Danio rerio: one gene and its partners. Each later gene encodes a partner of the first gene's protein in a complex. Links are inferred from orthologs where the notes say so. Each region holds a gene or a part of one and is shown in the gene's direction. Other genes may lie near its edges.

Region 1 (6,534 bases):
TCAATAAAACAAGACATCAGATACTTGATGATGTCCCACCAGAACCACCCGATGGCAGCAACTGTAAGCTGTTTTACGAATCATCTGTTTACACAACCATTTTCTGAAGCGGAGCGGACTTGGGAGCAGCAGTCAGGAAGCTTTTAATGAGGGAAGCAGTTCCACTCTGGTTTTGCTTCCGTGGTAAGTCACGTGATTTGGCCAAGGGATCTGTTTTTTTTACTCAAAAGTCTAAAGGATTCCACAACAACAAAATTAATGAATGAACGAATAAATAAATATATAAACATATAACATAAATATCATGCGTTTATTGTTGTTTCTGGTTTCTCCAAATCGTATTAATTTATTATTGCGTCACGTCATAATAGAGTGGAAAGGCTATTTAGTACAGCATCTATGGTACAAGTCACGCAGTAGAAGTAAGTAAAGATAAACATGCATAGCGCTTGATTGCGGTGGGGATGACCTCAAAATACGAAATAAGCATATTTTTCATGAGGATTGTTTAGATTTCTGCTATTTTATTAGAGACAATATTATTTGTAGTTCAACTTTGTTTGCAAATGTTTTAATTGAATTTTTACTATACATAATTTACAAATATATTTGCTCAATGTATTCATTCTGTTTGGAAAGTTTAGTACAAATAATTTCAAATACAAGCCATTATTTTATTCATTTTCTCTGCGGTCACCACAGCGGAATGAACCGCCAACTTATCCAGCATATGTTCTACACAGAGAATATCTTTCCAGCTGCAACCAACCCATCCAGTACTGGGGAACATCCATACAGTCTCATTCACACATACATTCAATTCACCTATACCTACCACTTCTTTGAAACCGGAAACCGGAGCACCTGAAGGAAACCCGGGGATAACATGCAAACTCCACACACAAATGCCAACTGAACCAACAGGGACTCGAACCAGTGAACTTCTTGCTGTGAGATCTCAGTGCTGCTAACCACTGAGCCACCATGTCGCCTCAAGTCATTATTTGTGATTTTGAATCAGAATTTAAGCTTTACTTTCCCAGGGATGGGTTGCGGCTGGAAGGGCATCCGCTGCGTAAAACATATGCTGAATGAGTTGGCGGTTCATTCCGCTGTGGCAAACACCATATTAATAAAGGGACTAAGCTGAAAAGAAAATGAATGAATGAGTTGCTTTACTGAAAAATGATAAGCTGTTAGCTGTAAATATTGCCATGTTTTCATTTGATGTGCGTATTATGGAAATAATAATAAGCAAAACAATCTAAATTTGAATTGTGTTAATTTGAATTAGACAATTGTAATTTAATAAATCTGAATTTTTATATGCCGTTAAAAATTGTTTTGAATTTCTTAGTTTGAATTTTCTAACTTGAATATTGAAATGTAAGACAACTGAATTTTTCAAGGCGGAATTTTTTATAGACATATTCTCAAACGTTTGATTTTTTGTGTTAAAATATTACAGTAGGCTATTTTTTGACTGAAATGCATTGAAATCAAAATGTCCAATGGGTGGCGCTAAATCTCTCTTTGTCACTGAATTGTTCATTCACATTCGTTATTTAGACCATATATATATATATATATATATATATATATATATATATATATATATATATATATATATATATATATATATATAGATATATATATATATATATATATATATATATATATATATATATATATATATATATATATATATATATATATATATATATATATATTTCCAGCCCTGAATTTCACAATCTGAATTTCTGGTTTTGAATTTTATGATATTGATTTGGATGTTCTAAATTTCTTCATCTTGAAAATTTGAAACTGTATTTTCACAAACTTAATATCTACAGTCTATGAACTCAGAACACAAACAAATCAGGCTTGAAAAGTTCTTGCATTTCAGATGTTCAATACTCAAGTTATGAAATTCAAATTCAAATGAAGAAAATCAAATTTAAAAGATTTTTAATGTCATAAAAAAATCTGATTTTTAAAATTAAAATTGTTAATAATTCAAATGAATACAATTCAAATTGTGATTGTTTTGGCACATTATTAGCTCTGTACGTCAAACCCTTTCTGAGACACACACACACACACACACACGCACGCACGCACGCACGCACGCACGCACACACACACACACACACATACACACACACACACACACAGAGAGAGAGACTTAAAAGGTTAACTTAAACATATAAATTAAATTATAAAAATGTATAAACAAAAATAAAACGTTTATATAAAAAAAGAGAAAAATAATATATAAATAGCGTACATACATACATACATACATACATACATAGATACATACATACATACATACATACATACATACATACATACATACATACATACATACATACATACATACATACATACATAAAAGCATAGGAACAAAAAAGCCTTTTGTTAATAAATAATGCATAACCATGCATGAGTAAACATTTTTGTTAACGCTTTTATGCTTCAAAAGTAACGTAGATAGACAAATACAGAAATAGATCGGAGCTCCAGCCCAATAGGGGGTGGTAAGTATTAGATGAGTCTTTGAATCCGGAAAGAGTCGACGAATACAGGCGCTCAATGATGTGATGTGCAGCTTCAAAGTGCTATTTGCTGAATTAGAATAGATTTGAAACGCCAGAACAATTTATATTATTAACAAATTAATTTATGTTCGGACTTATTAGCAGGAGCATGTAGTTTTGAGTCTGCCATACCCATCATTTTCTTCTGTTTCTGTACAGTAGCGGTGTTTGCTTTTGTTGTCTCCCGTAGTGATTGTGAACACATTCAAAGGTGTTCATTTGGGGCATCTGTGCTGTAAACAGTAAGTTTCCTTCATTATATGATGGATATCGCATATGTTTGCGAGTGGGAGAAGAGACCCAAGAGCAACCACTGTCCTTCAATCCCTCTGGTGTGCGCCTGGTCATGTAGAAACCTCATCGCTTTCACCACTGACCTGAAGAATGAGGAGGATGACAAAGGTCTGGACAATGCCTTTATTACCAATATTACCACTCCTGTTGGTGAGTTATGAATGGAGGACAAGAAACAACATACATTTTCAATTCGTTTTGGATCCAAAATACATAGAACAATGGTGTTTATTTATGATCAAGCATTATATCAGCAACAACAATCATGTTTTTTTTTTCTGTTGCAGATCTCAGTCATATGATACACATCATTGACACTGATCACCCCTGGGATGTGTACTCCATCAATTCTGGTCACAATGAGATAATTTCCTGCCTAGAATGGGATCAGTCTGGTCAGTCATCATGATGATAAAGATGAAATGGGCTAAACATTTGGCAATATGTGCAGATCATATTTGACAAGTTTTTTTTAGAAGTAAAGTTTCCATTTATTTTAGGTGGGTAGTCTCAGTATTGTAAGGGTAAGCCTAATTTTACTCGATTAATGTACTGCGATGGTCTTAAATCAGTACAGATTAGATACAGAATAATAAAATCTAATATAATATTTATTTTTATTATAGATTTTTTGTAATAATATAATTATTTTATAATTGACATTTGAATCATTTTAGAGTGTTAAAAACATTTGAAGAGAGACGCGTTTCAATGTAAAACCTAAATACTTTTCCAAATCAGGGTTTTTACCATTATCAAATACTAAAACTATTTAAAAAATCTGATAATAAAGAAAAAACTTGTATTAAATGAAAATTACAAATGTTGCTTTAGCAAGTAACAGAACAGAAAAAATATATATAATTTATTAAAATAAAAGTAAATCAAAAAGGCAAATAAAAAAATTATACTTTATATTATAACAAATGAAAACAGTAGTGCAAATAATACAATTGCTAAATTTAATATGAAGCAAAAAAGCCAAATCAAAGTATGAAGAAAAATAATAATAAAAAAGGTATATTCATTTTTATTTAATATTCATAAAACATTTATTAATTAAGTTGTTTATAAAATCAGTTTTAGGGATACTCCTAATAACTGATTAACCCGTTAACTTAAAGCAGGGGTGCCCAAACTCAGTTCTGGAGAGCCGGTGTCCTGCAGATTTTAGTAGGGATGGCTGACGTGAAACTGACGTTTCGACACAGTTTCGAGATCCCGAAGCACAAGTGTTTCGAAACACTGCACCGAAGCATGATCCGAAACACCCAATTCACGTGACTAAAGTGTTTCAAAACACCTGGACACGTGACTAAAATGATTCAAAGCAACAATCAGTTAAGAAGTGTTTCGAGACCTTGCGAATCTGGATGTAACTGCCGGCGTCAGTTTCAAAATCTGTCTCATATGGCCTGGTGGACTGTGCCTGTACACGCTGTTTTTATACTTCCAATGACTTTTGGGTTTGAATCCCGACTTGTACAAATACACCTAAATCATGGTTTTATGTATTTTAATCATGTTTCTGTTTTATGGTGTAGCCTAAATAGATTAAAGCTGAGGATACGCCATCAATATAGCATCATTTTTGTAACACTAAAACAATAATAAATATTTTTACAGTACTGTGATGGTTGGGTTTAGGGTTTGGATAGACGTTAATGAAATACAATAAATGGGAAATTTAATAAATAATATAAATAATTCTTGATACCTTCTGGCCACAACTGTGTCTGATCTAGCAACAACTCTGTTTTAATACCAAAACAAGACATATTTATTTACAAAGTGTTTATTCGGATGTCAGACCAATGTTGAAACAAAACGAAACAAGAACAAAGCATTACCAACTGGTATTAAAGCATTTCAAAAAAGCCGTATCAGCCTGGATTCAAACTCAATATCCCCACATGGAAGTCAGAAACCTTAACCGCTCCACTAAATCTCTTGAATAGATACTTTTACAAAGTGGGGTGTAATACCTCAATTTGCTAAAATGTTCTTGCTGAAGCTGTTTCAGTGCAATACATAAAAATGACCACTAGGTGGTCACCGTAGAGTGGGGTTTCAAAACATTTCGAAGCTTCGACACATTTGCTTCGACTGTTTGTTTCAGTGTTTCATGAAGCCTCGCTTTGCCCACCACTAGATTTTAGCTCCAACTTGCCTCAACACACCTGCATAGATGTTTATAGAAAGCCTTTAAAAAGCTTGATTAGATAGCCCAGGTGTGTCTGATTGGGTTGGAACTAAACTTTGCAGGACACCGGCCCTCCAGGATAGAGTTTGGGCATCCCTGTCTTAAAAGGTGCATTTTAATCTATTATTGGTATCAGTTAAATGATTAAAAATGTATTGTTTTTATTTTATTTAAGTTTGGCTGCATAAATGTGCAACACATATTTGCTTATTCGTGAGACAGTAACATGTGCAACTACATGTGCCCACAGACATATTTTGCCAAAAAAGCAAAATGAAAGAAGGATGATGCTGGTCACAGTTTGACACAGACAAGTCGATGCCAAAGCAGCACTGATGCTGATTGCTAAAAAATGTAGCGGAGCATTAATTAAATGCGGTTGTTATTATGTTTGCATGTTAAAATAAATCAGTATTTTAAAATGCAATATTAAATGTGTCGGACACAAAATAGACACGTCAATTGCTTTGTTTTAAATTAAATAGTAGTTTAATATTAATCTGACCAGTTAGCAGTTAATATTCAGTTAATGAGTGGCAGATTTCGATTGGCAAAATTAACCGAAATGAGCATCCCTAATCAATGTATTTGTTCAAATAAGTCAATAATGTTTGCCTCTTGTTAGGGTTGGGCCGATAGTCGATGCCATCGTCCATCTTCGATGGCCAATAGACAACACAATGCTGAGCTTGCATCGCTGATCCTCCGCCCCATCACAAACCCTCACGCAAAAAATACACACTCAGGCCCCGTTTGCACAAAGACGTCTTAGTGTAAAGATGGCATTTTAGAACGAAATGATCCACATCTCCATCGTGTTTTACCTAGCATTTCTGAACAGCCCTCCGTCCGCTGAAAACGCACATCACGTGACCACACACAAACACACACATACAGACAGAAACAGACAGACATTCACAGACGCAAGTGGTGCTCACTTCAGAGCCACACACTGTCATGCGCTCCTCTGAGTTCCAGAGACAGAGAGTCGTGCATGTTTGACAGTTTATCAAGGGTGTACCACTGGATTGCGTCTCATTATAGTTGTTAAACTTGATATTCAGACATACCGTCATATGCCATCGTCCATCGCGATGGTTTACATTAGACATTGTATGATGCCAAATTGGTCGACATTGCTCAACCCTACCTCTTGTGTGGTTTGCTAGGTTCGAGGTTGTTGTCTGCTGATGGTGATGGTCAGATCAAGTGTTGGGGCATGACAGAGCACCTGGTGAACAGCTGGGAGTGCGCACAGAGCAGCTCAGTGGACGGAGACCCTATTGTAGCACTTTCATGGTTACACAATGGAGTCAAACTCGCCCTGCATGTTGAAAAGGTACAGTATGTGAATTCCCTTACCTGCCACTGTTACTTTTGGCTTGCTTGGTTAGGGCCGGCGAAGCTGATCTTCAGTCTATTGTCCTGCAACTACAG
Region 2 (6,291 bases), on another chromosome or scaffold:
TTGTATTTGCACTTTTTCTACATGCATGTAACACAAACATAAACAAATATAGAGAAACAACATCAATATCAAGTAAAATGTAAAGAAAAAAACAGATAAACAAATGCAAAAAAAGTGCAAGCAAACAGAACAAAATAAACAACAAACATACTCGGATAGATGGATACATGTACACGTTAATACACACTGATCAAGAAAGATCAGGATCCCATAATGCAATGCAAAAGCATAAATAAATGGGGGAAAATAAAAACATGAATCACAAAATACGGAAAACGGCTAATTTAAGGATTTGTTTTACAGTTCAGGGTCACGTTTATTTAAATTAAAAGTGTTACTAAAAATCTACACAATGTTTGTTTTGAGTCGAGAAAAAATCTCTGGGTCTGTTCAGGAATGAGGAAATAGTTTCTAAATTGCATGTGATGGATTGCTGCTGCGCTTCATTGTTGTCTGTGCAGCGCAAGCAAGAACGAGGGGAATTAAATGAGAAAAACTGCATGAAAACGCACCACTGTTACAAAATAAAAGAGCATTATTAAGGAGGCACAAAATCATGACTGACAGACACTGAAAATGTGTTAAATCCACAACAGCTTCAGAAAGACGAGCAGGAAATTCAGACAGAGGTGTGAAGCATTACACTTATACTTAGTTTCCAAGTGTCTAAAAAATGACAATAGTAATAAACCTTTCCTGTTGCACACAATCTACTACAGGCCACTGTGTCGCATGATTGATAGTTTATGCTTTTTTTTTTGTTAAATATATTTTATTTAAATTGCACAAATATTTCAGCTTGTGGTTTAGATCACTTATCAGAAGTAAAACCTTATATAATATTAAAATATATCTCTATAAAATAAAAATAAAAATTGTATGTAAGAATATCAATATTATAATATGAAAATAAAGACTAAATTTTGTTTTTCTTGACCATTGAAATGTCCATAAATGCTGAAATATGAGTATCAAATATGAATTTTGAGAAACAATAATTCTCAGAAATAATGTTTTTATTTTCCCAAATGAAGTAGAGATCAAAAACTCGCTAAAACAAAAACATTCGAGAAATCATTAACATGATCAGTGTCTTTACATAGATGAATATCTTTAAATATTAATAAAAATAAATAATTAAAAGTAAATTGAGCAAATTTGATATTTGCTATTTTATATATTTTTGAGAATTGTTCCTTCATCATTACAATGCATTGCTTTTAAAAAATAAAAAAAGTATTGCATTTAGACATATTACTCTGCGATAGAGTGACAGTAATATTTATATGCATTTTATGCAAGTACTCTGACAGACCTCTGAATGTTTTGGGTATAATAATGTTTATATCAGCACCAAATTGCATATTTTTGCTCAGTTTATACATCTGATTACCGTAAACTTATTATCTTCCCAAGTGTGAGATTAATATTCTTACTATATTAGTCGTAATGAATGTCTTTCTTGTGTATGAAAAATTAAACAAATAAATAAATCAGTCACTTATGTATTTAATTATTTTATGCATTGTCTAAGATTCACTAAAGTGTTAAATTATAATATATATATATATATATATATATATATATATATATACATATATATATATATATATATATACATATACATACACACACACACACACAAACACATATATACATACACACACACACATATATATGCATGTATGTATGTATGTGTGTGTGTGTGTGTGTGTGTGTGTGTGTGTGTGTGTGTGTGTGTGTGTGTGTGTGTGTATTTACATTATCAGCAATCATCACCTCATAAATATCAATGTAGTCCAGTTTATAAACAGTACAAGCAGTCATAAAACCCAAATACACTAGAACAATAATAGTTAGCTATATAGAGGTAAAGTCTGTTTTATATTCACATATTCAGACTTTCTCCTCAATAAGGTAATTTCAGAAAAGTAATGTTTACAAATTCTAAATAGGGAAATCATTGTCGATGTTGTTTTGAAGTCATCCTTGCCTGCTAATGTCTATCGAATATTCAAAGTAACGTTAACGTTAACATGGTAAACAATACAGAGACTGCTAAATAAACGAATGTGCGACTATAAAAGCAACGTTACCTCTATGTTAGCTATTATGTGGTAACAATAATAGGGTTATTTCAGATTGATATATTGACCTTAAATCAGTACACGAATCGATCACTAATTGATCAGCATTTCATTCTTAGGATTATTATTTCAGATTGATATGTCGGCAGCTGATTCACTCTACAAACACGAATTATTTGTCACATGTGTGCGTTTAAAAGGGATTATATAATTAATTAAGCGTGATAAGTAAGATATTTTGGGATGTTTGTGTTTATTTAGCGTAACGGTGAACTTTAGATCAGTTGCAACATCATATCAATCACTAATTGATTAGAAATACATAGTTGACATGATTGATTTCGATTCATATGTCGCTAAATGAGCTGAGTCACACTTTAAACAACTGTTATTTGCCACATATGTGCGTTATATAGGGATTATATATTTTATCAAGCGTAATAAAGAAGGTATTAGGGGTTTAACGTTACTCACTCTCATCCTGAGCGCGCAGTGAACCGACCCACGACAAGACGAGCAGAACCAAACATTCTCTCTTCAGTGGCATTTTCCCGGATCAGTCCAGTCCATAAACACGCTTTAGCAGAAGCATTTACATTCGGCAGTCATGTTGAAGCTTCACATCCAGCCTCCGGAAGTGTCAAGCACTCCTGCTTTGCGCGAAAATGCAACAACTTTTCAGTAGACGAGCGCTTTCGCTGTACGCTGCGCTGTATCACGTGATGTAGCATTGAACGCGCTCGGCGGAAACGGAAACTGTGAAGAGGAGCCAACATGGCCGACAGGCTAACGCAGCTTCAGGATGCTGTGAACTCCGTAAGACTCATTTAACGTTTATTTTATACTTCAGAAACTGCAGAACACAGCAAATGTCTTCCGAACAGATTTACTTAATAGTCTGGTTCATTAAATTGGATTATTTGCTTAAGAAGTCATGTTGATGTACTGTAGCGTCTGAAGTGTTAGCATAGCGTGCAATTTGTGAACAAATGAACAGGTGAAGTTTGTTGTCATATGTGTTTTGATACTGTAATAAATGTTTTACTTGTTATAAATAAAACGAAACTGAAAATAATAGTCCTATTATAATCTAAGTAAGTGTATATAAAAGGCACCGTTATATAATTATAATATAACATATAATATATACATACATTTCTGTAAGTGCTATTGTTACTTATATATTGGTGAAGTACACTTAAATATTTCTTTTTTTGTGTTCTTCAAAGTGCAATATTAATTATTTTTAAATTGTTTTAAATTAATGTTGTTTAATCAAACATTACATGTAATTGTGTTTATTCATATATTACATAATTCACAATCTTAGCACTGAGTACTAATACTTCTCATCATGTCAAAGAACATGTAAACTGAAAGTAACAGTGGATTGTCCTGCATGTCTGATTTACTGCATGTCGTGTTTCAGCTGGCGGATCAGTTCTGTAATGCGATTGGAGTTCTGCAGCAGTGCGCACCACCGGCCTCCTTCAGCAACATCCAGACGGCCATCAATAAAGACCAGCCCTCAAACCCCACAGAAGGTGCTCTCATCTGCACTGATCTGAATGTGATCCACTTTGAAAATAATGTGTTTTGAAGTTGACATACTAAGATGTGTTTTTTCTAGAATATGCTCAGCTGTTTGCAGCGCTGATAGCAAGAACAGCAAAAGATGTTGATGTGCTGATCGACTCTCTGCCCAGTGAAGAATCCACTGCAGCCTTGCAGGTACATTTATTATATACACACACACACTGTATCACTGGCCAACACCACATTATTATTATTGAATCATTATATAATTATTGAGCCTTCTGCTGTTTAAAATATGGTTGTTCTGCACTTCAGGTTTTGAGTTCTGGCACTCAAAGAGAAGAAAATCAACTGTAAATTATATTGTTGCATTAAAAATGAATCTCAGCTTAACCTGTGCATCTCATATCCATTTCTGGAGAGCCACTGCTTTGCACATTTTGAGTTATGCCTACATAATGGACCTGATTATAAATATCATCTTGCTAGAAGAAAGCTCCAGAAGCTGCACTGAATGTACAGAGCAGTAGGAGCCCAGAAATGGATTTGAGAAACACTGAAATATACCATGACAATAATACACAAATGACCAATTAGCTAGATATTAATCATATTACAAACTTGATTACTGTTAATTGCTCATCCCATGCCACATATATTGCACATCTGGCTCTGTGCTACCCATGTTGTCCAAGTACAGAGTGAACAACAATACATTAGCATTATACCTCGTCTCTACTTGTTGTCATTTCTGATGCGTTTCTTAGGCCGCCAGTCTGCGACAGCTGGAAGAGGAGAACCAGGAAGCTGCAGCGCGTCTGGAGGAAGTGGTTTACAGAGGAGACGCCCTGCTGGAGAAGATCCAGACGGCACTAGCAGACATCGCCCAATCACAGCTCCGCACCCGCAGCGGAGCCCCGAGTCAGCAAACACCTCCAGAATCCTGACAGAAAAAAACCACAACATGAACTATAGTGTCGGGACACAGCAGGGATTTTATACGCATCCTACATCGACTGCAGGAGACTCACTGTTTCACATCGGTTTCTGGACTAAAGAAAGCTGATTTCCCATCGCATGTCTTTATTGTGCGACCTCTGTTTTTTACCTTGTGTAATGTTCATCAGCGTGTTACTACCATTAATAGTCAGCTTCTGGGTATGTTTTGTAAATTAAATGTTGTTTTTTTCCCTCACCAGCATTATGCTGATACTCTTGTTTTGAAAGAAGTTATGTTTAACAAATAAAAATATATTGTATGACATGCTTGTTTTTATTTTTAACTTTGACCTGTTCAGGGTTTAACGCTATGGATTTTTTCTACTGGTCCGATCGGGCCAGTGGTTCAGATTTTTACTTGCCCTGCCAAATTTTTTACTGACCCCACCAAAAATAAAAAAAGAAGAGAAAAAAAAGCTAAGATGATAGCTATTTTTAGCCACATATTTTAAATAATGTGTCAAAAACAATGTCTGTGAATCTCGAATTTCAATACTTAAAGATGCTTTAATAAATAATGAGCAAAATTCAAAGTGTTATGCAAACAAAAAGAGCAGTATGGAAAATGTGCAGGTTTTTTGCAGTTCAAAATCTATTAATAAAAGGTGGTTGACTTGTTAAACTGACGGCAAATTGTGTTAAACATCACTTCATTTTGTTGTTGTGTTGTTCCTACGTAAATATCTGCTTCCAATACATTAGAAACAGACATTCTCTTTAAGCCTTCTAACTTGCTGTTGCTGTCATGTTGCTGTTTCTTTGCTGTACTGGTTGTTGCTAGCGGTCCGTTATTCGCACATGGATGACTCCAGTTTAGCTGGGTTTGGTTATTGACGATTTGATATGATCAAGGATCGTTTAATTCTTCAAAACTGATCTGAAAATTGTTGTCATAGCAACAGTTCCGATAGCTCAAACCTGCTAGGGAGCAGGCTCATTTTATATAAACAACATACTGAAAGTATGAACCGAACTCTGATATCTTCTTACAGTAGTAGTTATATACACTTGGGAAAATAGTAAATATTTTTAAGCTATATATATATATGTATATGTGTGTGTGTATATGTATATATGTATGTATGTATGTGTGTGTGTATATATATATATATATATATATATATATATATAGATAGATATATATATAGATGTATGTATGTATATATATATATATGTGTGTGTGTGTGTATATATATATATATATATGTGTGTGTGTGTATATATATGTATATATATGTATGTATGTATGTGTGTGTGTATATATATATATATGTATATATGTATGTATGTATATATATATATATATATATGTATATATGTATGTATGTATGTATATATATATATATATATATATATATATATATATATGTTATTATATATATTATTTTCTTTAATATATAACATCTAGATAAACAATAGAAATATAAAATAAATAGTAATAAAATATAAACTATTTTAACATCATACAATACTGCAAAAAACTCTAAATGTAAACACTGTGCTGTTCAAACGTGCAGCTTTCTCGGCATATTGTTATTTACGTTTCTGCTAAATTACATTAAATATAAAATTAAAAATTGTTAAATACCCATTATAGCCACAGTTGAACAGTTCTCCACAAGGAGGAGTAAACACTTGAGAATAAAAAATGCAAAAATACCTCAGTTGG
Region 3 (5,846 bases), on another chromosome or scaffold:
GGCATGCTGAAAAGCCTTTAAAATAGTCATATATAAAGATTTGACATTCATCGTGATAATTATCGATATTGACTGATATGAAAAAAAATTATTGTTACAATTTTTTTTGTCATATTGCCTAGCCCTAAGTTGAAGGTAAGATTTAAGTGTTCTACATGATTGTAAACGTAAATATATATATATATATATAACAAATGGAGAAGTTTGATTTTTTTCATGAATTTGATCAAAGATTACAGAAACGAATGTGTAAAATGAATAAACACATGGATGAATCACAGTAAGATCTATGATGAATTATAAAATGTATAGGGTGATTTTACCATCTCAACTTTAAGGTGTTTTAAAATGATTTTGATTAGTGGGATTTCATATAGTTTCTCTTTTATTGAACTCGTATGCCTATGTTTTTATCTGTCATAATTAACCCATGACTCAAATTGTTAATTGAATACTGAACTTGATGTCACTCTTGGACAATTTATGTTTATTCTTATAAGTTTATGACTTCTTACTAACTAGTAATCTGTAATTGAGTTCCTGTTTTGTAGTGTTCATAAATGGAACTGCCATGTTAGATCAAATTTAGCTTTTAAAAATGTAATAAATGTTAAGTATCATAATATCTTTAAAGACCAATTATAACTAATGATTATTGCTATTATGAATTTTGTCTTTTACTGTTATTATAAGATTAATAAATGGTTTAGAAGTGTTTTCATTGCAAATTCATATTGATTAGTATGTTTGATTCTTAATTAATGGAGTTTTATTGTGAGTGTTATCATTTAATGACTTTTACTTGCCTTTCTGGTTATTTAGACCGTGGATGCGGATCATTCTAAGTCTCCCGAGGGATTGCTGGGAGTTTTGGGTCACATGCTCTCAGGAAAGAGTCTTGATTTGCTACTGGCCGCTGCTGCAGCCACTGGAAAACTCAAGTCTTTCGCCCGCAAATTCATCAAGTATGACAGAGATCGGATCATTTTATCTTGTGTTTCTCAACCACATTCCTGTAGGATCATCAGCTCATTAGCAGAGACTGAAAAACCTGTAATGGGTGTGACAGATAAAGGAGACATCCAAAACATGCAGTGTTGGTGGTCCTCCAGGAACATGTTTGAGAAACACTGGTTTTATCTGTAAACCCAAAAATACAGAGTGTCAAGAAGTTTGATGTATATTTGTTCTTTTCCAGGCTGAACGAGTTTCCAAAGCACATTAGTGGAGAAGGATGTAAGTTTCTTTTCAGGCTATTATGTTTATTCGCTGTGAATTTTTGCCCTCTTCTAATTTTTTCTTTATGTATTTTTGTAAATTATAATGGAAGATTAAGGATATATATTTGGGTATTTTGAGCAGCACATTACCCAGCCAAATCTGAGCACAAGTTCACTTTTAACAATCTACTTTCTAGCGAAGTCTGCATCAGTACGAGCTCTGCTATTCGACATTTCCTTCCTCATGCTGTGTCATGTCGTACAGACGTATGGATCAGAGGTCAGCATTTACACATACATAATTTCAATCTGATAAGGTTATGTAATGTTCTTATATAATTCTTAATCACATCCTGTCATCGCAAAACACTCAGAGTCACAACTGAGTCAAAACGCTCCGATCATATCCTACTTCCTGTCTGTCCAGGTGATTCTTTCAGACCCCAGCCCATCAAGCGAGACCCCTTTCTTTGAGACATGGCTTCAGACGTGCATGCCAGAGGAAGGGAAGACCCTGAATCCAGACCACCCTTGCTTTAGACCTGAGTCTGGGAAGGTGGAGAGCCTGGTGGCCCTGCTTAATTCTTCATCTGAGATGAAGCTTGTGTAAGTGGTGCTTCTCTTTAAAGTGCCATTATTACTCTATTTAACAAGTTTGTTTTGAAGGTCTTTAGCAATAAGTGTATATCCATCAAGTAAACAAAAAATATATACTCTTACACTGTAAAACCCAAAAAGTTAAGGTATCTCAAACCGTTCGAGGAAACTGATTGCAGCAAACCATTTAAGTCCAAAAACAAATCCTAATGAGTATTGTGAACTTAATCCATTTAAGTAAATTAAGCAGTTTGAGCACAGTAAAACCTGATAAGTGAAGAGAACTCAAACCAATGGAGTACTGTAAAACCCAATAAGTCAAGGCAACTCTAACTGTTTGAGGAAACTGATTGCAACAAACCATTTGAGTTCAAAAACTAATCTATATGAGTACTGTGAACTTGCTTAATTTGAGTTGAAGTAATGAGGTATTTAATTTGAGTTCAAAACTCTTTTCAAATGAGTAGAATTAACTTTCAGTCAATTTTGAGTTAACTTCACTCATTTCACTTGATAAAGTTGAATGTTGGGTTTTACAGTGTAGCATACATTCCCTGTTCATGTTCAAGGATCCACTCTTTCTAAATCTCTCTTTTTGAGTGTTTGGATTGTCAAATAGGCACCATTTTTTAGTGATTGGTCTACAGCTCATTAAATTAATTGCAAGTGGCTTCCTCTGGACTTGTAAATACAATGATAGAAACAATAACGTGGCAATGGTTTTGTCAAAACGCATTTTCTTTCATTCATTGAGGATTCATACAGTGTATTTGTTTCAGCTGGATTTATTCTTTCGTCTGGCGCCGCATCACACACCTCTGCTGACTGCGCGCGCACCTCACAAAACGGACAGGGCTTTTATACTTGCCGCATTCGCCAAAACAACAGGGGGTGGTTAAAAAAAACCCCACCGTAAAATCACACGGATAAACACAGACTACATCATATCATTAATATCATTCAAGATTTTTAAACAAATAATTTTTATTATTTTAATAAATTATTTTAATGATTATAAGGATTTTTATAACCATTTAAGATTTTTTAAGTCAAACTTAGATGCATCTTTTGAACTTATGTTCATATCTCGGACAGTTTTACCTATTAAAGTTTATTAAAATATCATTGACAACAGAACATGGGTTGCTTTACAAATGTATTTTTATAAAAGCAAAAAAAAACATTACAATTACTAAAAATTATTTTAGATTTAGCCCGCTCCACAGTTTACACATTACTGTCTGATAATGTTTCTGTCCTCTACTTATGCTAAAAAGGAGATAATGGTCCAACATTCTTGACCATTATCACCAATAAAGCCTAGAAAAACAGGCCATCAGTATATTGTAAACCGATAGGTTCAAATATTCCTTTCCAGTTATCAAAGAAATTATTTGTTCTGTTAGTTTTGTAACTGTTATATTGTTTTAAATAAAAAAATAATATATACATTAGTGTAAAACCTATGAATGGAAAAACATATTTCTGTAATTGTGTATCCGGGTCTCCACTTTTGCCATGGCCTCTTTTGGCTTTAACAAACTTATCCCTCAAGTTTTCCCAAATGTTTTAGCAAAAACATTCTTCCTTTCCCACTAATGTTGTAATTTTTAGCCAAGAATTTTTGATCATCTGGTTATATCTATGAACATGAATCATAAAGATGTCTCTACAGTTGAACCTGTTTCAGACAAAATCTCTTCAGTGTTTCATAATCAACTCAAATCAGTTGTGGCGCCGTGCGAACTGTTCGCTCGTCTCAAAAAAATCATGCGCTCCGCCAGCCGAAATCATGACGCGTACACCCAAACCTAACCTCCGCAAACACTGCGATAACGTCACATTCGCTGCGCCCACTCAATCGAACTAGCGGACATGTCGAGTATAAACAATGCAAAAATTTTCTTTTTGACCTGTTGACACCACAACTGTACTGTTTAGATGTTGTTAATAGGATGACAGTGAAAACTAAAGGCTGGCATTTTCAAATGTGTTACAAACCTACATAGGGTTGTGCATGAAGTAATGCCTGAATTATTGACCATCACTGAATAATATTCTCTATGACACAACAAATTCATTTATTGTATGCTTTTGAATATTTGCATACCTTTTACATTCAGAAACCGCTATATTAGACACCACACCAAAGAAAATATCTTAATCATTCAGTGTAACATCAGATAAGTGATGACTCGTTTTGAATAATAGATCCAAGATTGGGAGCATATCTCACTATAGCAAAACGTTTTGCTAATGTGGAACTGTTGATCACTCTTTGAGAGCTGACTGTTGCTCGGATACAGGTGTTTGTTTTATGATCCTGAAATACGTTTGAGTTAAAAATGTGTAAGTAAGTGTCTTATTAAAATTAAAAATATAAAAAATAAAATAATAATCAGGGATTATATTTTAGGGTCTGCTGTCTTTAAATGAAACTATTAGCCTAACAGTCATTTGTGTAGTTTTAGAGTGTACTACCAGATGTGAATTGGCAGGCCAAGAACCTAGATCCAAAAGTGCATATTTGTTGTATGTATATTTGATGAAAAATTTGCTCAGATTTGGGAGAGGACAGTGTGTTTTGTTTAAGTATGGAACGTATGCAAGTAAGTAATGATTGGCCACAAAATGGTTTGTTTTGTCCTGCCTGTGAGATAAGTCAAACATATGCTTTCTTCTTCCCAGTCAGATGAAATGGCATGAAATATGTCTTAGTACTCCTGCAGCTATACTTGAGGTCCTGAATGCCTGGGAAAATGGAGTTTTGTCAGTGGAGGCTGTTCAGGTGAGGGCATTTAAGAAGTCTTTAAATGGCACACAATTCCCATCATTTGACAGTTCGGGACCAATAGTATGAATGTCACACAGTAGTTTCTTCTTTATGACTGTAACTGAAGATGTGTTTTTCTGTGAGTGTAGAAGATCACAGATAATATAAAAGGAAAGGTGTGCAGTATGGCCATCTGTGCAGTGGCATGGCTGGTGGCTCACGTTCGGATGCTGGGATTGGATGAGAGAGAAAAACCTCAGACTATGATTCGTCAGCTCATGACTCCTATGTCAGGGGAAAACACTTTGCAGTTTTACCATGAGCGGTAAGCATCTCCTCACACATCAGACTACAGAATCACATTAAAGTACTCCCATTCAAAGTCTTAAATTGTGAATATCAACAAACAGATTTCTATTTTTAGTATTTTTATTGCTAATATCTAGAAAGTGCCGAGACATTACTGGAAGTACATATGCCCTTTATAAGATCTAAAATGGAATATATATGTTTATATTTTGTGTTAAAAAGAGTCTAATAATAAGCTTACCAAATAAAATACTATTTAAAATAACTATTAAAGTTTCATTGTAAAATATAATGCATTCCTGTGATGGCAAAGCTTAATCTTTAACATTTATTTTAGATAGAAATATTTATTACTTTTGAATAATGAATAAATTTTATTTACATCGACTTTCCCTTTAAGATTTAATGGGCTAGCATTGCACCAGACCCCCGTAAGTGGTTTCGTTGTAAGTGTAAAATCTATATTTTATGAACATATGCATCACTTTGGTTTTTATTCTACTTTACAAAAATTATTTACACTTAAATACACAGTGTTTTGGATACCCGAGCTAGGTATTTTACACTGGTTCGTTTTCATATTTTTCATATGACACATGTGCAAGTTATAGCTAAATGAAAGCTCTTGTTGGTGCTCATACAGTTCGAGCATTTTTTTACTGAATTATATTCACATATAAAACAGTTGCTAAATGAATCACAGTGTTTCCATGGCGCAGAAATGAAAACAATACATTCATGATCAATAAGCAACCCCAGATAGCACAGACAGCTGTCATCTCTTACCTTATGCTGTGCGCTTCAGGGCCATTCTCCTCTGTTTTTGAGGTGATGTGCATAAGTAATACTTTTATATGTCTGACGTGGTCCAAACATAGTGAATTATGTTTGATCAAACAAAAGAATAGTGAAATATGAAAACAATGATCGATCCCTGTGACTTGTAC
Region 4 (6,528 bases), on another chromosome or scaffold:
GGGTCCACCTCCACCTCTGGCTCCACCTCGTCCATGGCTTCACCCAGAGCCGGCCATTCCTCATCAGAGTCTCCATCCTGAGACACCGGCCCTGACACACACACACACACTTTAAGCAAGAGTTCAGACAAACACAAGGCAAGCTTCCAATAGGTCACGAATCTTTTGGTTTTGGATCAGTGGTTCAGAGTGCAGATCAAATTGGCGAGGTCACGTGATTTCAGTAAACAAGCCTTCATCACATCATCCCCGTTTTCAGAAAATGTCCTGCTTGTCATCTGCGGGGCGATCTGTGTTACACGTCAGTTATGCGCGCATATTAGATCGCCCCCTAGTGGACTGAACAGGAGAAGAGTGTGTAGATGTTTTTAGGAGAGATTTGTAAATGACAAGGAAGGAAGAAAGGATGACTGGATGGATGGATATAGACAGACGGAGAGAGGGAGGGATAGACAGACGGACAGAAAGATGGATAGACAGAGGGTTAGACAGACGGACAGATGGAGGGATAGACAAACAGAGGGTTAGACAGATGGAGGGATAGACAGAAGGAGGACAGAAAGATTGATAGACAGAGGGTTACACAGATGGACAGATGGAGGGATGGACAGACAGAGGGTTAGACAGATGGACAGACAGATGGAGGGATAGACAGACAGAGGGTTAGATAGATGGACAGACAAATGGAGGGATAGACAGATGGGCAAAAAGACAGATAGACAAATAGAGAAATAAACAGATGGAGGGATAGACGGACACAAAAATGGATATACAGATGGAGGGATAGACAGACGAACAGAAAGATGGATAGACAGAGGGATAGACAGATGAAGGGATAGACAGAAGGACGAAAAATGGATAGACAAACATATGTACAGAAAGATGGACAGACAGACAGATGGAGGGAGGGATAAACAGACAAAGATGGATAGACGAAGGGACAGACGGGGACTGAAAGATGGACAGACCGACAGACAGATAGAGGGATAGACAGACGGACAGAAAGACAGACAGACAAATAGAGACATAAACAGATGGAGGGATAGACAGACAGACACAAAAATGGATATACAGATGGAGGGATAGACAGACGAACAGAAAGATGGATAGACAGACAGATGGAGGGATAGACAGACGGACAAAGATGGATAGACGAAGGGATTGACGGAGACCGAAAGATGGACAGACCGACAGACAGATAGAGGGATAGACAGATGGACAGAGATAGACAGACCGACACAAAAATGGATAGACAGATGGAAGGGTAGACAGAAAGACAGACAGAAAGATGGATAGACAGATAGAAGATTAGACAAACATACAGAAAGATGGAAAGACAGACAGACATAGACAGACGGAGGGACAGACAAAAGATTAGACAAACAAACAGAAAGATGGATAGACAGAGACATAGAAAGATGGACGGATACACAGATGGAGGGATAGACATATGGAGGGATAGACAGAAGGACAGAAAGATGGATAGACAGATGGCTAGAAAGAGAGAGATGAAGGGATGGACAAACACAGGATTAGACAGACCAGACGAACAGAAAAATTGATAGAAAAATGGACAAAGATGGAAAGATAGACAGAAAGATGGACAGACGGATGAAGACAGAGGAAGGGATAGACAAACCGACAAAAATGGAAAGACAGACAGAGAGATAGAAAGAAGGAGGACAGAAAGATTGATAGACAGAGGGATAGAAAGACAGACAGATGGAGGGATAGACAAACAGAGGGTTAGACAGATGGACAGACAAATGGAGGGATAGACAGATGGGCAAAAAGACAGAAAAATAGAGAAATAAACAGATGGAGGGATAGACGGACACAAAAATGGATATACAGATGGAGGGATAGACAGACGAACAGAAAGATGGATAGACAGAGGGATAGACAGATGAAGGGATAGACAGAAGGACAGAAAGATGGATAGACAGAGGGATAGACAGATGAAGGGATAGACAGAAGGACAGAAAGATGGATAGACAGATGGCTAGAAAGAGAGAGATGAAGTGATGGACAGACACAGGATTTGACAGACCAGACAAACAGAAAAATTGATAGACAGATGGACAGACGGATGAAGACAGAGGAAGGGATAGACAAACCGACAAAGATGGAAGGACAGACAGAGAGATAGACAGATGGACAGAAAGATGGATAGACAGAAACAGACGAACGGAGACAGATGGAGGCATAGACAGATGGATAGAAAGATGGAGGAACAGACAGACAGATTGACGGATAGTTTGATAGACAGACATATAGATACACAAATAAACAGACAGAGAGACAGACACACAGTCAGTCAGATGAGAGACAGACAGACAGTTGGTAAAACAGGACAGACACAGACAGAGAGAGAGTCAGTGAGTGCAGCATTCACCCAGTCTGGTCGCCGGTGTCCTGCGCTCCTCCTCGGCTGTGTCCTGCAGCTCCTCCTGCTGTCTGCGGGCCTGCTCCAGGATCCTCCGGCTCAGCTTCTCATCCACGAACTCCTGCTGCTCCTCCTGCCCGCGGCCGCGCTGCTTCTGCCGGCCGCTGCAGCGCACTGAGTCCCGCTGGAGGATCTGCTCGGCCAGGGGCACCGCGCCGCCGCTCCAGGCCTTCTTCACCTTCGGCATGATGACGGTTATCAATATTAGTATTATCTGCCTGTCTGTCTGAGGAATTATGAGTGTGAAATCGCGTCTGAACACATGACGCGCCGCGGAGAGCTGCACACACGTGGGTCTGAGAGCAATGGCGCTGAGAGTGTGTGTGTATACATAGATATATGTCTGTAGTGCTGCTCTGAGAGCAGTTGGAGAGATGAGCGCTGTTTTGGAGCGCGCAGAACTACTGATCCCAGAGCGGCGCTGCGTCACACTGTTTACTTCCGCTCGAGGCTCGGCAGATCTCGGCTCTGTTCATTTTTAGCGCGGCTAATGTTTTTATATTACATGAATTTAATGATTGTTAATATTTTTATTTTATCGAATTTAAGTGTTTTACTTTTACTGATTTCGCGTGTTTCACGCAAACTCGAGTGATCCGGAAGTAAATACCCCGGCTTGCGGAAGTTTGTCTCGAAGAAATGGGTGTAACGTGGTGAGAAACACTTTTGTTTATAAAGTATTGTCCTCAAATAATTAATATTTTCAGTTGTGCTTGTTTTGAGTCTCTCTGGTGCTCCTGATGCTCCCGTTCAGCGCTGTTTGAATGCACAGAGAGGCTTTTGCTCCTCATTCATCAGTCTATTTATTGCTTTATACATGTTTACATCACATGTCACTCTTAAAAGTACTTTACAAAACTGTTATTAGTGTTGTGTAGAACACAATGAAGGCCTGTTATTATTATCAGGTGCACGTGTTCATTCAAACTAACATTTAAGATGAAATATAAGGATATTTGACGAGGTTTTCCCGAAGTTTTGTATAAAAAAAAGTGTAAGATTATCAGCTTCATTTACTGCAAACATATAAAAAAACATTTAACAAGTTTTGTAGTTTACAAGCACTCATTTAAGTAGTGTTCAGGGAGTCCGCGGGGTCTTAAAATTTATTAAAGTGCCCATGAAATGAAAACTAGCCTTGTTGTTGTTGTTAGCTCACAGTGCTAGTTCTGTGGTGAATAATTCATCTGTGCATATTATTGAGAAAATGTAATAGTTTGCCCTTCTAATCTTTAATTGAAATCTGAAAATGCTCTTCCTGTTTGTTTTCAGTTAAATTATCAGATGGTGTGTTTTTGAGAGAGGGGTCTGGCTGCAGACCTGGTGCAGATGCAATCTGAGCTGCATCCAATACTTTAAGCTGTGCTTACACTGGGCTTTTCTCACCATAGACTTCATTCATACACGCGAATGCGTCAGACTGGAAACGCAGGGTCATGCGTCAAGTTTCGCAGGTCACTTCAGTGCAAAGTTCAACCTTGGTGAAGTCGGACCTGCGAAATCACATCACTTGACTGCGGGAGACCAATCGAGGATCAACATGAGCTCTCTGGACAGAAATGAAACACATGCAGCAATCACTCGCTTTATTAATGCCTAATCATCTTGTTTAATCCCGCCCCTTTTCGCAGCGCCGTACGGCGGACTTTCGCACACGCAAGCTCTAGTGTGACTGCAGCTTTAATGTGCTCACCTAACCCCACCCCTCAAAGTGACCTCACTAGCTCAATTGTGTCCGACATTGCATCACTAAGAGATGCAATCTCAGCTTGCATCACAAAGGCTGCATCCAGATACTATTGGTTTTAGGCAATGGGCGGGGCTAACATTCATAACCACGCCCCTCCAGCTGTCAGTTTTGACAACAAACAGAAATGCTGAGCTGGGGTCCGTACGTTGCTTAAATGATCTTGATGATTTGGCAGATCCTTGATCTGTTCATCTTGATAACTGATCTCTGGCTAATTTGGTTCCTCAAACAGGTTCGTGAATTAGATTAAAATGTCTGGATGCACATCTGAGATCAGCGTGTGTTGTGAAGGGCAGATTTATCCATCCCCAAAATCATGATCAGCAATGCAGCGATTGGCTGACGGCACAGCAGCGCAATGACATCATCTGATCAATATTCAATTCTCCATGTGAGCAAAATTATTTAAAATTCTTAGTAAACGGTTTGTTAAATATGACACACAATAACTTCCCATGTTTGTTGTGAGCTGCAGGCTTTTTTACACATTCATGTGTCAAGAGTATTCAGCAATTTATTTTATTGTTAGAGCAGATTTTCCTTATTACAGTCGCCATATTAGTATTATAGTAGCCGGTTTCTTAATTGGTATAAAGATTAACAGGATGTTTAAATTAATTTTGCATCACAAAAGCATTTTACTATTGGTAAAGATGTCTGCAACTTTTTTGAAGGCATTAAATCCCAGTCATATTACCGAATACCTGCATGAATGTATTATTCCTTTATAAAAAAAGGTTGCATTAATTTTCTCTTTGATCCACCAGGTGGCAGTATTTGTACTTTTATTTCGGAGTGCAGATTGCATAAGTTTTATTTATATATATTTTAACTTATATATATATATATATAGTTAAAAAATATATTTACTATTTTCCCAAGTGTATATAACTATATAACTACTGTAATAAAAGATCAGAATTCGTTACATAGTTTCAGTATTATCTTTGCTTGAACTGAACCGATCTTATCCTGTTTATATGAAACAAGCTGCTGCTCCCCAGCAGGTTTGAGCTACCAGAACTATTGATAGGACAACAGCTCTCAGATGAGTTTTGAAGAGCGTAACGATCCTGGAACATGTCAAATCGTCAATAACCAAATCCGTTATATAATAACTGAGTAATGCATGTACGAAGAACGGACCCCTGGGGTTTGGTTTTCATAGGTGAATTACTCAAGTATATCAATCTATCTATATAGCTAGATAGACAGACATTACACATATGCACACACAGACTCGCACAATTATTTTTATTATTTATTTTTATTGATGTTTACACTGATCAGAATGATCTTGCTTTAGTAAACTACCATTTTGAAACTGTTTTTAATTGTAAATAAATTAAACGTCTCAAATGTGTGTGTGTTTGTGTCAGTGTTTGTCAGGTGCCAGTGGCCGAGGGTAAGAGCGTCCAGCAGACGGTGGATCTTCTCCACAGGAAGCTGGAGCAGCTGGGAGCCGTAAAACAGGGGAACTTCTGGGTGGACTGTGAGACGTATCACGCTACGGGAAATGCCACCGGTAAAAACACAACTCTTGGATTACTTAAACCAAATTCTGTTACAGATTAAAATAACATGACAAAATGTGTAGTCAGTAATATAAATCAGTTAGATTACACATTTATGGTAATGTATCCGGACTACTTTTTAAATTACATTTAGATTACTTTTGCGCTAACCCTTAGTTGATGTCACACATAGAATGAAAAGAATATAAGAAACGTATATTCACAGCATATTTATTATAAACACACACACACACACACACATATATATATATATATATATATATATATATATATATATATATATATATATATAAAAATAATGTTCATAATGGAATCATGTAATTAAAAAGTAACTAATTTGATTACGAGTATTTTAAAAAGGAGTTTATTATAATTACAAGATCTTGATTTTTGCAATATGATTACAAGATTGCATAATTTTAGAGATTGCATATAATCGGATATCACATACAAACCGATATTACATATAAAAAAAGTTTACAAATAAACCGATTTTACATACAAACCAATATTACATATGAAACGAGATTGCAAATAAAACAAGATTACATACAAACCGATATTACATAACAAGATTGCATTTAATCCGATATTACATGTAAACAGATATTGCCTATAAACCGATATTACATAGAAAATGAGATTACATAAACACCGATATTGCAATTAAACCGATATCACAAATAAAACAAGATTACATACAGGCCGATATTACAATTAAAACGATATAACATACAAAACGAGATTACTTATAAACCGGTATGACAATTAAACCAATATTACAAATAAAAGAAGAT

The links.
Region 2: med16 (region 1) and med21 share a complex: the UniProt entries of both Homo sapiens proteins name them as parts of the mediator complex. The link is inferred for Danio rerio from reciprocal best matches to the Homo sapiens genes MED16 and MED21.
Region 3: the proteins of med16 (region 1) and med24 are in contact, whole or in part, in a cryo-EM structure (PDB 7EMF), measured with the Homo sapiens proteins. The link is inferred for Danio rerio from reciprocal best matches to the Homo sapiens genes MED16 and MED24. Residues at the interface, in NP_005472.2 of Homo sapiens: His29, Cys30, Pro31, Ser32, Arg52, Asp54, Asp55, Gln56, Glu82, Asp102, Val126, Glu127, Gly128, Asp129, Pro130, Val184, Ser185, Leu187, Thr203, Glu204, Ser205, Cys207, Arg208, Leu209, Arg210, Gly211, Arg212, Asp232, Gly233, Ser234; in NP_055630.2 of Homo sapiens: Ile539, Leu540, Asn541, His544, Pro545, Glu593, Arg629, Met630, Leu631, Gly632, Leu633, Asp634, Glu635, Asp676, Gln679, Gln680, Thr681, Ala682, Pro702, Pro703, Lys704, Arg705, Pro706, Ile707, Lys708, Glu709, His737, Met738, Gly739, Gly740.
Region 4: med16 (region 1) and med20 share a complex: the UniProt entries of both Homo sapiens proteins name them as parts of the mediator complex. The link is inferred for Danio rerio from reciprocal best matches to the Homo sapiens genes MED16 and MED20.

Annotation. Positions count from the first base shown.
Region 1 is NC_133186.1:14,599,115-14,605,648, forward strand, and holds the start of med16 (mediator of RNA polymerase II transcription subunit 16), read left to right. Parts: upstream 1-2,578; 5' UTR 2,579-2,860; coding exon 2,861-3,002; coding exon of another isoform or gene 3,003-3,044; intron 3,045-3,181; coding exon 3,182-3,289; intron 3,290-6,266; coding exon 6,267-6,436; intron 6,437-6,534. UniProt on the Homo sapiens protein: Component of the Mediator complex, a coactivator involved in the regulated transcription of nearly all RNA polymerase II-dependent genes.
Region 2 is NC_133179.1:2,081,509-2,087,799, forward strand, and holds med21 (mediator of RNA polymerase II transcription subunit 21), read left to right. Parts: upstream 1-2,816; 5' UTR 2,817-2,861; coding exon 2,862-2,903; intron 2,904-3,516; coding exon 3,517-3,631; intron 3,632-3,717; coding exon 3,718-3,818; intron 3,819-4,390; coding exon 4,391-4,570; 3' UTR 4,571-4,885; downstream 4,886-6,291. UniProt on the Homo sapiens protein: Component of the Mediator complex, a coactivator involved in the regulated transcription of nearly all RNA polymerase II-dependent genes.
Region 3 is NC_133187.1:11,210,434-11,216,279, reverse strand, and holds part of med24 (mediator of RNA polymerase II transcription subunit 24), read left to right. Parts: intron 1-822; coding exon 823-965; intron 966-1,198; coding exon 1,199-1,236; intron 1,237-1,417; coding exon 1,418-1,500; intron 1,501-1,647; coding exon 1,648-1,826; intron 1,827-4,505; coding exon 4,506-4,605; intron 4,606-4,739; coding exon 4,740-4,915; intron 4,916-5,846. UniProt on the Homo sapiens protein: Component of the Mediator complex, a coactivator involved in the regulated transcription of nearly all RNA polymerase II-dependent genes.
Region 4 is NC_133197.1:572,471-578,998, forward strand, and holds the start of med20 (mediator of RNA polymerase II transcription subunit 20), read left to right. Parts: upstream 1-2,859; 5' UTR 2,860-3,085; coding exon 3,086-3,099; intron 3,100-4,428; exon of another isoform or gene 4,429-4,587; intron 4,588-5,575; coding exon 5,576-5,721; intron 5,722-6,528. UniProt on the Homo sapiens protein: Component of the Mediator complex, a coactivator involved in the regulated transcription of nearly all RNA polymerase II-dependent genes.